2 linked regions of the Arabidopsis thaliana genome follow. Changing the gene in region 1 together with any one later gene gives a genetic interaction. Each region holds a gene or a part of one and is shown on either strand. Other genes may lie near its edges.

Region 1 (4,796 bases):
AGTTCGATTGAAGCGTAACAGAGAATGAAATGGAGAAAACACGAATCGAAGAAGAAAAGAGAGAGAGAGAGATGAAAAAAAAAAACAGATGGATAATGGTGTGTGCTTATTTTTTCACCCTCCCTTATCTCTCTCTCTATCTATCTCCGGTCTGATTCTTTATTTTTTTTCTTTATACGGTAAGGGTCTATAACACTTGTTCGGTGCACCATCGTGCACGCTAGCAATACTTCCAAACTCTAGCTAAGAAAATATCACGTGGTAAACCGACCTACTTACCAACTCAATTTTACGTAATCTAACGGCCGGTTTAGACCAACCGACCCACAAACGAACAGTAAATTCAATAGTTTATCAGAAAAAATCATTAAACTTCTCCATTTGATTGTTTTTTAATTTAAGTAGCAAATACAATATGTATCATTCAAATCACTTAAAATTTTAAACTTGGGTTCTCTCTTTGTCGGTTTAGAGAATTAAACCAATTTTGTAATAGCCACAAAAGAAGAAGAACTACGGTAAGGATCTTGACAACCTCACCACCGTCCGTTTTAGAGGCTCTAAGATCGTGACACGTGACATTTCATGATTGGTTAGGCAGTTAATGACTATTCTACCCTGAGGATTTTCTTCTCTCGCTAGTCGCTATGTATCTGGACCGGGGGCTCAATAGTCAATTACGTTGATGTTAGAGGTTCCGTGTACGAGACCATTTTCTCGAATTTTTATTTTTGATTACTTTTTACTTCTGGCGGACGAATCTTTTTAGTTAAGTCTAGACGTTGCCACTTATGTTACTTGCACCTCTTATTTGAGAGTGTGACATGGTTTATGTTCAACCTCTTATTTTATGGGAATTATCTTCTGTTTATAGACCAAAATACAAACACTTAAACGTTATAAAAGTAAGAAATTTCCAACTTAGCTACGGACTTTGAAGACTGTAAGGGGGCTTTTAATCCTAGAGAGCAATGATGTGTCAATATCATGTGTGAATGATTGTATTGCTAAAACAAAATTCCTAACTTTTTTCTTCTTATCCTTTGTTGATTAGTTGCATGAATACAAATCTTGGCTTAAAATCGCATGTCCAGTTTGATAAACCGCCTTTGTAAAATCCTTTTAAACTGCAAAAGTATAGTGCAAAGGTGGGAAAAAACCGAAAACAATGTCTGCATATTCCGGTTAACGAAATCCGGAATCTCAAAGAAACAAAGACAACAAGTCAGAAAATTTTGTGAGACAACAGTCCTAAACTTGAGAAACAGAGGATGACAAACCTAAACAAAAGCTAACAAAATCTTTTTTGATGAATATAATCTATAAACAAAACTATATAGAAAATGAGGCTAGAAATATCTTGTCGCATTAAGACATGTACTTTTCATAATAAAGAAAGAAAGAAACTATATTGAAGTTGTGTAGTGATGTCTATCCATATTGCATCTATCCCATATTTCCCACCCTATACATACATATTATTTGAAGTAATAGTGATGTCTTAGTATAAAAGTTTTGATATAAACTATATGATTTTTTCGTTTTTTGTTAATAGAAATAAATTAAATTGATAGGTAATGAAATTGTCGACGAACCTACACGGCTACACCTACGTAGTCCAAGATCAACCTTTTATCATGGCTTACCAACAAGATACTTTAGATTTATAGTGGTTATTGGACCAGAAGACAGCATTAGAAAAACTTTTAGTTTTTCCTAAACACCTCTTTGAGAATTGAAAATCATATAGCAAAAAGCTTGTACTGTTATGGATAACTGATAAGGAACATATTTAATCAAGAATCAAAACGACTTTCCATGTTGATATATAGAACTTCATAAACATGTTTAACATTTCTTACGCCAAACGAAACGCTAAATATTTATTTAAATTGCTAGCCTGGTAGGCGCGTAATAGAGAGTGCTATGTTTCCTTAAATCAAAGGTATAACTATGCAATTAGCTTTCTTTTATGCATCCTCCTTGTCTATCTCAAACATAGCTAGAATCTTGAAAAGTTTTGATAAGGATCTTGCCATTGACTTTGTTAACACAAAAAAATCATCAGCAAAACATAGATGTTGTTGCCGGCAACGAGGATGGTAATCGATAAAGCCACAGGTGTATGATGATCGAGGAAGCTGGACCTAACATCGGTAACAAGCAAAAAGTAGGTATGGCTATAGTGAAGTCCGTGCCGCTGACCTCTAAATGTTATATTTATCTCTTCCACTGAATTTTTGTTTCATTGTTACATTACTCAACCATAGCTTAAGAATACTTGTGGGTGGAGATGCATATTTATTTTAGTTCTCCAACTTAGCAAAATGCTAATAATGTATATCATTCTCCATATAAACGCTGCGTTTTGGACATGGAGGGGATACTTAAAACGCTGCGTTTTACACTTTGTTTTCCCGCGTATATTTCTCCCTTTATTATCGGATAGCCCAACAATCACACAGGCGAAGAAACCTAGCTATTGCTTCGCCATGGACGTCGGAGGAGAAGACATAAGCGATCTCCAGGTAGACCAAATCGTTGAAGAATATTCTATGGACGATCTCATTAGAGACCGATTCAGACTCTCCGCGATCTCTATCGCCGAAGCCGAGGGTTAGACTCTCTCCCTCCCTCTCTTCCCATTTCAATCGATTCTCAAAATTTCTGGTATAATCAACGGGTTTATGAATACATTCGATGAAGCTTCGTCTGTATTTCGATTTGATTTTGGAATTTGTGTTGATTTGATTAAGGATATTGAATCGTTGATTCAATTGTCCTTCGTATTTGGCTTCCGATTAGTTTCTTCTGGTGAACGATGAAATTAGCTTAAATGTTTTCATTGAGATTCTTGGAGCTCGAATTAGATTTGGGGATTTTCAATTTCTAGAACTGATGAATCAACATAGTAACGAAGCTGCTTGAAGTGTTAGTTCTACAGTGTTGAAATTTAGATTCTTCCTGGAATTAAGTAATAGATGGAGAAGAGTTGGATTTTGATTGATTTGAGTTTTTTATTGAGCAGCGAAGAAAAATGGAATGGAAATAGGTGGACCTGTTGTGGCATGTGTGGCAGATTTAGCCTTCAAATATGCAGGTGAGATCAGTTTTCTATGCATTGAAATACTAATTCTGCAACTCCTTCATCTTATGGTTTGAAGAACCTTATTATAGTTAAAAGAACCTTATTTATTGCTACTATTTACTTGGATGTTTAACCTAGGCTTTAGGGGAATACAGATTTGTCAATATGCTTTGGAAGTAATCTTTTGGTTAGAAGAATCCTGGTCTAGTTAATTTTACATTAATGAAATGTGCAGTGTTAGTTTTATAAGTTCTAAATCAATTCAGTAAAACTTTTCAGTCCCTTTGAATCTTAATCTAGCTTCAGGGTAATACAGATTAGTCAATGCATTGGAAGAATGTTTTTTGGTTTTTGATAAAAAAATTATCAGTAGTGAAGAAGAGTATCTATTCTTAGGCCTTTATGTGGTACTTAGCTTAAAGAAACACAGATATAGCAATTTAAAGACGCAGGATCGAAACGAATGTTCTTTACGTATCTGGTGTAGAGGATGAAATTTTCTTGAGCATGGTGTGTGCTCATGTTGAGTAGGATTATTTTGGTTGATGTTTGTATGGTAAACTGTTTGTAGAAGCTTCAATTCATAGTGGAGTTGACTCAACCAAAATCTAAACCTTATTTTTAGTGTTTTCGTCTCCAGAATACCTTTGTCTGAAATTATGCTTATTTGTTATGAGTAACAGAAAACGTTGCAAAGGATCTTGAACTATTCGCTCATCATGCTGGACGCAAAGTTGTGAACATGGACGATGTTGTTCTCTCCGGTATTAAACTGTTTCTCTCTTACACGTTCATGTTAGTGTTTTCTTAGTTCTGAATTTCATATCTGTTATTTTGCAATTTTCAGCGCATAGAAACGATAACTTAGCAGCATCTTTGAGGTCACTATGCAATGAGCTAAAGGCAAAGGAGCCACAATCTGAGAGGAAACGCAAGAAAGGATCAGCCAAGAAAGAAGACAAAGCCAGTAGTAGCAATGCCGTTCGCATCACGACCGATCTGTAACTCTTCAAGCAGAGTGTAAATACACGCACTCCTCTATATATATATATAAACATTAACTTTGATGGAGAAGCTGTTATTAAATTTTTGTGGAAAATTTTATATAGAAGACTTTTGCATTAACCTACTTACTTTAACGTTTAAATGACTATATCCAATCAGAAAATTAAAAAATATGCGTATATATCTCATTATCTTGAAGTTGCGTATATAAAATATCGAGAATCTATCTCTATATTCTCTGTAGGTTAACATATATCTCTTAGGGATTTGTGATTTGTTTTCTGTGTTATATACCACGTATAAGCAAAGATATTGTAAGCTAGGTCTGATAGCCGGGTTAGATAACAATGTCACAATCTGACTCTTCTCCGACGAAGAAACAGAAGCTGGAGGATGGTTTAGGTATATATCTGGATCCTTTTGTTTATTACACATTGAAGATTATGTAAGAGGGATCTCGATTTGTTCTAAGGGTAATGTATCAAAGAAATTCTGAGTGTTTTATGTTGTAGGTAAAGGAAAATCTCAGAACGAGATTGGTGCTGTAGGGATTCGAGAAGAGAAAGATAATATTGAAGTTGAGAATGCTAAGGTAAATCTGTTTTATTGAAGGTCTAAAACCATCGATCCTTTACAGGATACAGAGATGTGATCGGAATTAAAGTCTTTGTCTTGTTTTTGGTTGGTGTCTTTCTATGTCCTT
Region 2 (6,356 bases), on another chromosome or scaffold:
GGATACTCAGGTTAGTAGCTAAAACCCTAAACCCTCAATCCTAAACATTTTAAAAACATCACTTAATATGATTTTTTTTATGTGTTTATGCAGCTATGTAGATAACAAGAAGGATCATTGGCATCCATCGCCGATGATTGTGTTTAGAGATATGTGTGGATTAAACAGTGTGAAGATCGCAATGTGGCCAACACATAAGATGAATCATCAAAATATGGGAGAGAGATATGTGAGGAGAGGTCAATTACTTGAAGAGATTGGTAGATTATGCAGAGAGTTGGATATCGAATATCGGTTATATCCTCTTAACATCAACGTAAAAAGTCTTCCTGCTGCTACTCCCATCACTTCTGATCGCATTCCTCCTAGCTGGAATCAACAACGCAGTGTTTGAAGATTGGAAAATTTTGAGTACTTTTTGGTGTTTTTGGTATTTGCAGTGAGTGAAAAAGAGAGATTTTTCTGTCTTCATTTTCTTTCTCTTTTATTGTTTTAAGGACTTGAGGATTCTTCATTTTCATTGCAAAAAGCGAGTCTGCTTTTGTGTATATCTGTGTTGAGTGGTTATAGACTTATAGTCGATAAAATAAAAAGCTTACAGCATTTGAATCTTTATATTAATGTTACGTAAGTACCTTTAAAAGTATAACATTGATTTTTTTTTAATAAATATATGTATTATGTTATAACGATATTGGAAAAAATTTTGTAACCATCAATTTAATTGACATCAATAAAATTTATAAAGTCAATTTACTTTTGAAAAATCCAATTGTTCTAATCGCGAATCATGGATCTATATTAGGGGTCTATGAGATTTCTTTCTTCTGAATGAGGATTTATTGAGATTTTGATTTTTTTTTAAACATCCTACACAATATCTAAAATAGCAATATCATTTATTTATCCATTATAAATTTATAATTTGGATATGCCAAACAGAATTCTATTTCTATATATGGATCAGAGTTATGCATCTATCTCATCTAGCTTGGGCAGCTGACATGGGTGTGAGCTATTTGTTATTGATAACATTGAGTAACTGTGTGGTATTGGAGGTCCATGAAAATAAAATTCTTTGGCAGTGAATTTTGAATAAGACACATTCTAATATATGGTAGATGAATGTTCCAATCAAGATCGGGTACGTTCTGAGCACAAACGTGCTCTGAAATCACTGCAATACGGATCTGAAGAATAACGAAATTCCAAAGGTCTCGAGCATCATTCCGAGGATAGACAATCAAGGCAACAAAGAAGACATCACTGCTAAAAGATATTGTTCCCTGAGTGGACACACAAATATAACATTAAAGAGCAATATTGTAACATCTATATGAGACTTTCCGGAGATATTGACAAGCAATTAGAAGTTAAAATTTGGACGATTAAAGAAAACATCCAACGTAGACTTGCATCTCATTGTTAAGGTGATCTCTGAGATGAACAATAACTATATAAAAAAGACAAGCTCTCAAAACTTTATTCTAAAATGTATAATATATAAAATTTATCAAAAACAAAATTTAACATGTGTTGTAGCATGAGTCCAGAATTCAAGATACATATGGTGTTTTAGTTTATGTAAAACAAAAAACTATTCAAAATGAATCGTAAAAAACCGAGTTACATACGTTTTCTATATAGTTTTAGTTTTTATAAAACCAAAACCAAACTGAAAAACCGAATATCCATCCCTATTACATAATAATTAAGAATTTATATTATATAGAGAATGATTAAAACTATACTATAAAGCAAACAATAGTCCAACATTAAATAAGTATTTTAAATTTTAATTTTTACCCGTGTTGCACCAGCACGGATTACAAGTTGGTTCTATAAGATGTGTTGTTTCTGTCTTTTTTTTTTTTTTTTTGGCTCAACATCAACTTTCCACTAACCAATTCAAAGGTACAAGTCATTCGACCAAAACATATTTTAACCAAATACAATGAATCAGTCTATTATCACCTTGAAACACTATGATGGATTCAACGCTACCCAACCGAAATTCACTGTATTTTTCCAACCACAACGAGATGAATTACACCACGACTCTAAGTGAAATCATCTTTTAAACCACCAAAATTCACCCAATGACACGAAAACATTTCTAGCACAAAGAAAATCAAATCCTATCCTGAGATCCAATCCAATTCCAAGCTATTAGTCCCTCATGATCCGAGTGTAGAACATGTCCTAATAGCATCTACGCCAAAAGCGCAACTTCAGAAGGGTTTTGACTCCTCTGCTTTCACTATTTCGGTCCTAAGCCTAAAACGGACATACTAATCCGACTGATACTCAACCGGATCAACCGGGCTGAGACAAAAATTTCTTGAAGTCGAGGCTTTATTGGAGAGCTTTCCTTCTTCTTCTACAATCCAAATGGTTTTCTTTTCTCCCCCATTTCTCATTAATTCTCCATCAGGAGTCGTTGACGGCAGCATAGCTAATACGCCTTGAATCATGTAAATCTGCCCGGGATCGATAGGATCTTCACAACCAAGCTCGAAAACCACGATCCGCCTACCTCTGTACCTTCTTAACACTGAGCCACCACTACCAAGGAGGTTCATCGGAGGAGAGGTACCTCCGCGAAGAGACTGACGAAGAAATCCACCAGATCTGCTGCCGTCGTCGAGAGTCATAGTTCCCCATTGTAGATCTACCAACGAACCTCCATCTGAGAGAACTATCTCCGCTCGCCGTCGACTTAAAACTCTTTGATTAAGCCACAAAGAAGGAGGAGCCGCCGCCGGCTAAAAAAAATCGACACAAAGGAAAAAAAAAACTAAAAAGAGAAGAGAGGCCCTCTCACGGTGCCGGCCGAAACCGACCACCAAAGAGGCAAAACGGCGTTTGAAGATTTGATCTGGTTTGCGGCGGCTAACTAGAGAGAGAGAACTAGGGTTTTTTGTTTAGTTTGTGTTTTTGTTGTTGTATTTTACTTAAGATGTTGTTTTTGTTTAAATGAACCAAAAAAAGGAAGTCTTAGCTTAACAAACCGACGCCGTTTAGCGATGTGCATTTCAACAAACTGCGATGTCGTTTTGACATTTTATTGCTCACTCAAGTCATTTTGCTACTGCTGATTATCTCTGGAAATTTGAAATCTTCGTTTCTCGCGCCGGCATTGAAATCAGCGAGAGAGGTAACGATCCTGGAAACTCTTGTGTTTTCTCTCGGATTTGCATCTGCCTCTTCTTCGATTTTCAATTTTTGAGATCCTTCGCTGCTGTTTTTGGTGTTATACTTCAGATCGGTAAGCTTAATCGCCGTTTGTTGTTCTTCAATCACTTTCTGCGACGCGTTCTCTCTCTATCGCTCTGTCAAAATCGCAGGTAAGCTTCTTCAATTTCTTCTTAGATCTTCACATTCCTGCTGCGATTTCGTTGCTATACCTAAGCTCTTTACAATTTCTAAGGTTTGTGTCAATCTCGAATCAGGGAGATTGATAAACCGATTTGTCTCCAGTATTCTGAAGAATCGTAAGTCGGAATCTAACTGTTGAGTTGAGTTCATCGCTGTGATGTAGAAACCCTTAATTTCGGGACTGTGCAGTCGAAATTTTGCCGATCTCTGAAATCTATGCATATGCCCAATTTCTAGGGTTTCCGTTTTCTAAATCGTTTTTATGACTAGAAACTAGTTGATCATCACAGTTACTGTTAGTTTTGTACCTCTCCGATGACTATGAACTGCTAACTACTGAAGTTTGACAGGTCTTAATGCTTACTTTGTACCCATTCGTGTTTGCAGTTTAACAATTTTCAGTAGTTAGAATGAATATAGGTTAATTAAAACTTGTATTGTGAATACTAGTTAATTGGTGATCTCAATGAGTTAGTTCAGTGGAGAATGGAAGTTTCATTTAGAGCATGGTTCTTCATCTTGTTTGATATGAAGTTAATTTGCAGGTGCGTAGCAGCTTGAGATACTTATATTAGAGGTTGACATGAGATGCAACGCGTGTTGGAGGGACCTGGAGGGCAGGGCCATTTCCACCACTTGCGGTCACTTATTATGTATCCTATTTACACTTTCTACTTTTCTTTTGCGTAGCAACACTTGTGAGCTTGAATAAGATGACCTTAACACCATGAAAAGGTACTGAAGATGCCAGCAAGATTCTCAGTAATGATGGGGCATGTCCCATTTGTGATCAAGTACTCTCCAAGAGGTAAAACTTTCCTAGCCTAGCTTCAGTTTAGCTCTAGTCGCCTTATTCTCCATTTGACAGTTAGTCTTTATCTTTCCATCTTAGTTTAATGAAACCTGTGGATATCAATCCAAATGAAGAATGGATAAATGTAAGTGGTTAAGCTGAAATACGCAAGGATACTATAGCTTTTCTTCTTTTCCAGTTTTCAATATTCCCATCTTACATCTCCTCGTTGCTTACATGTGTTATCAGATGGCGATGGCTGGAATTTCTCCACAAATACGTATCCTTTTCATAGATGTGCTCTTGGTAGAATTTTCAAGTTGTAACTATGGTTTTTCAATTGAAAATTGTCCCGCTGTATCTCAAATCTAAACTCAAGTGGTATAACTTTATCTCTTTTGCCTTTGTAAGAGTTGGTAAAACAACAGTTTAAGGTTCAAAAACCTCCTGTTTTTCTTAACTGAATCTAGTGATGAAGAGTGCATACCGAAGTGTAATGTTTTACATTGCCCAAAGAGACTTAGAGATGCAGTACAAGATGAATAGAGTTGTTGCACAGTGTCGTCAGAAATGTGAGGGTATGCAAGCAAAGTTTAGCGAGAAAATGGAGCAGGTCCATACAGCATATCAGAAGATGGGCAAGAGGTGTCAGATGATGGAGCAAGAGGTAGAAAACTTGACCAAGGATAAGCAAGAGCTCCAAGAGAAGTTCTCTGAGAAATCAAGGTCAGTCACTTAAGATATGTTTTCCTGGTTCTGTTCCCTATATTAATCTCAACTACAATAACAATGTACCTTAATTGTTTTTAAATTACCAGACAGAAGAGGAAGCTTGATGAGATGTATGACCAGCTAAGAAGTGAGTATGAGTCAGTTAAACGTACAGCCATCCAACCAGCAAACAACTTCTACCCGCGACACCAAGAACCCGACTTTTTCTCAAACCCAGCAGTTAATATGATGGAGAACAGAGAGACCATTCGCAAAGGTTAATTTAACTACACTATTTCTGTGTCTTGAGCTTAGTGCTTCATATGATCCTGAGTCTATTTTGGTTAAATATCTCCAAATCAAGTTGACTTATTTGGTGCAGACCGGTCGTTTTTCTCTCCTGCAACACCAGGACCTAAAGATGAGATATGGCCAGCAAGACAGAACAGTTCAAACTCAGGTCCATTCGACATCTCCACCGACTCACCTGCGATTCCATCCGATCTTGGAAACAGAAGAGCTGGCAGAGGACATCCTGTATACGGTGGTGGTGGCACTGCTAATCCCCAGTCAACTCTACGAAACCTTATTCTCTCCCCTATTAAACGTTCTCAGCTCTCTCGTTCCCGCCCTCAGCTGTTCACGTAAGAAAAGTAGAAAACTATAACCTTAAAATAGACCAAACTCACATCATGTACTTGGGTTTGTTCTAAAATATTTTGTTGCTTCTATTCTCAGGCTATAGCTTAAGGATCAAGTTCAAGTGTTCTGAAACTGCCTAGGTGGAAGTCCTAATGGTCACAACCAGTAAGTGACTCTTCTTTTTTATAAGCTGTCTGACTTAGTAAGTAAAAATCTGAGGGAAAATGTAGTATTTGAGGAAAAGAAAAACTCTCGTCTATATAAATATTAATAATCGTAAATCATATTTTAGTAGAATCAATATAGTGAAACTACCTACAAGGATCATAAGACGATGAGTAAATATAAAAAAGATATATCTGTTGGAAGAAAAGGCAAAAAGAAAAAAAAACAAAACAAAACAGTTTAAAGTAAGCACTTGTGGAAGAGTGTGATGTTCATTGAAGGCTTAGGTTCTCTTGTTTGGTTCAAAGACGTATTTGAGCAGTGACTCTTTGATGGAGAGCATCTCTGGGAACTCCTTGCTTAGTTTAGATCCATCCATTTCGTTGTTGCTTCGAGCAGCAACAATGACCTTTGCTTGTTCTTCCACTGTGAAGTTGGACCATTTAAAACCTGGCTCGATGTAATTCTTGTACATCTCCAATATCTCGTTGTGGCTCACCACCCCTGGGTTGGTGAAATTCCATATGCCTCTTAGGTTTCTCTTCGCCATCTCGATAGAGATTGGGAGAAGCTCGTCTAGTACGGTCATGCTGTTCGGGATGTCCACCACTTTGTTGTAGCGCGAGATCTTCGTGATGAAGTTTCTCGGGTTGTTTAGGTCTGAGGA

What was found.
Region 2: of AT5G50930 (region 1) and HEI10, changing one suppresses a phenotype caused by changing the other (phenotypic suppression), as found in Arabidopsis thaliana (one study listed by BioGRID).

What each region holds. Positions count from the first base shown.
Region 1 is NC_003076.8:20,720,225-20,725,020, forward strand, and holds AT5G50930 (Histone superfamily protein), read left to right. Parts: upstream 1-1,844; coding exon 1,845-1,903; intron 1,904-2,121; coding exon 2,122-2,174; intron 2,175-2,310; coding exon 2,311-2,616; intron 2,617-3,028; coding exon 3,029-3,100; intron 3,101-3,771; coding exon 3,772-3,852; intron 3,853-3,935; coding exon 3,936-4,093; 3' UTR 4,094-4,257; downstream 4,258-4,796. Other genes in the region: AT5G50940 (RNA-binding KH domain-containing protein), read left to right, coding at 4,441-4,495, 4,606-4,685. UniProt on the Arabidopsis thaliana protein: Involved in the promotion of spontaneous somatic homologous recombination (HR) events, which is opposite to the function of FANCM in ordered HR. Only FANCM is essential for replicative repair in the absence of the endonuclease MUS81.
Region 2 is NC_003070.9:19,961,185-19,967,540, forward strand, and holds HEI10 (RING/U-box superfamily protein), read left to right. Parts: upstream 1-2,082; 5' UTR 2,083-2,291; coding exon of another isoform or gene 2,292-2,765; 5' UTR 2,766-3,157; intron 3,158-3,264; 5' UTR 3,265-3,347; intron 3,348-3,420; coding exon of another isoform or gene 3,421-3,528; intron 3,529-3,923; 5' UTR 3,924-3,961; coding exon 3,962-4,031; intron 4,032-4,113; coding exon 4,114-4,186; intron 4,187-4,270; coding exon 4,271-4,316; intron 4,317-4,420; coding exon 4,421-4,451; intron 4,452-4,641; coding exon 4,642-4,897; intron 4,898-4,989; coding exon 4,990-5,159; intron 5,160-5,264; coding exon 5,265-5,526; intron 5,527-5,620; coding exon 5,621-5,627; 3' UTR 5,628-5,768; downstream 5,769-6,356. Other genes in the region: MSL4 (mechanosensitive channel of small conductance-like 4), read left to right, coding at 1-10, 94-394; MRD1 (mto 1 responding down 1), read right to left, coding at 2,292-2,765, 3,421-3,528; MUM4 (NAD-dependent epimerase/dehydratase family protein), read right to left, coding at 5,973-6,356. UniProt on the Arabidopsis thaliana protein: Ubiquitin E3 ligase required for class I crossover (CO) formation during meiosis.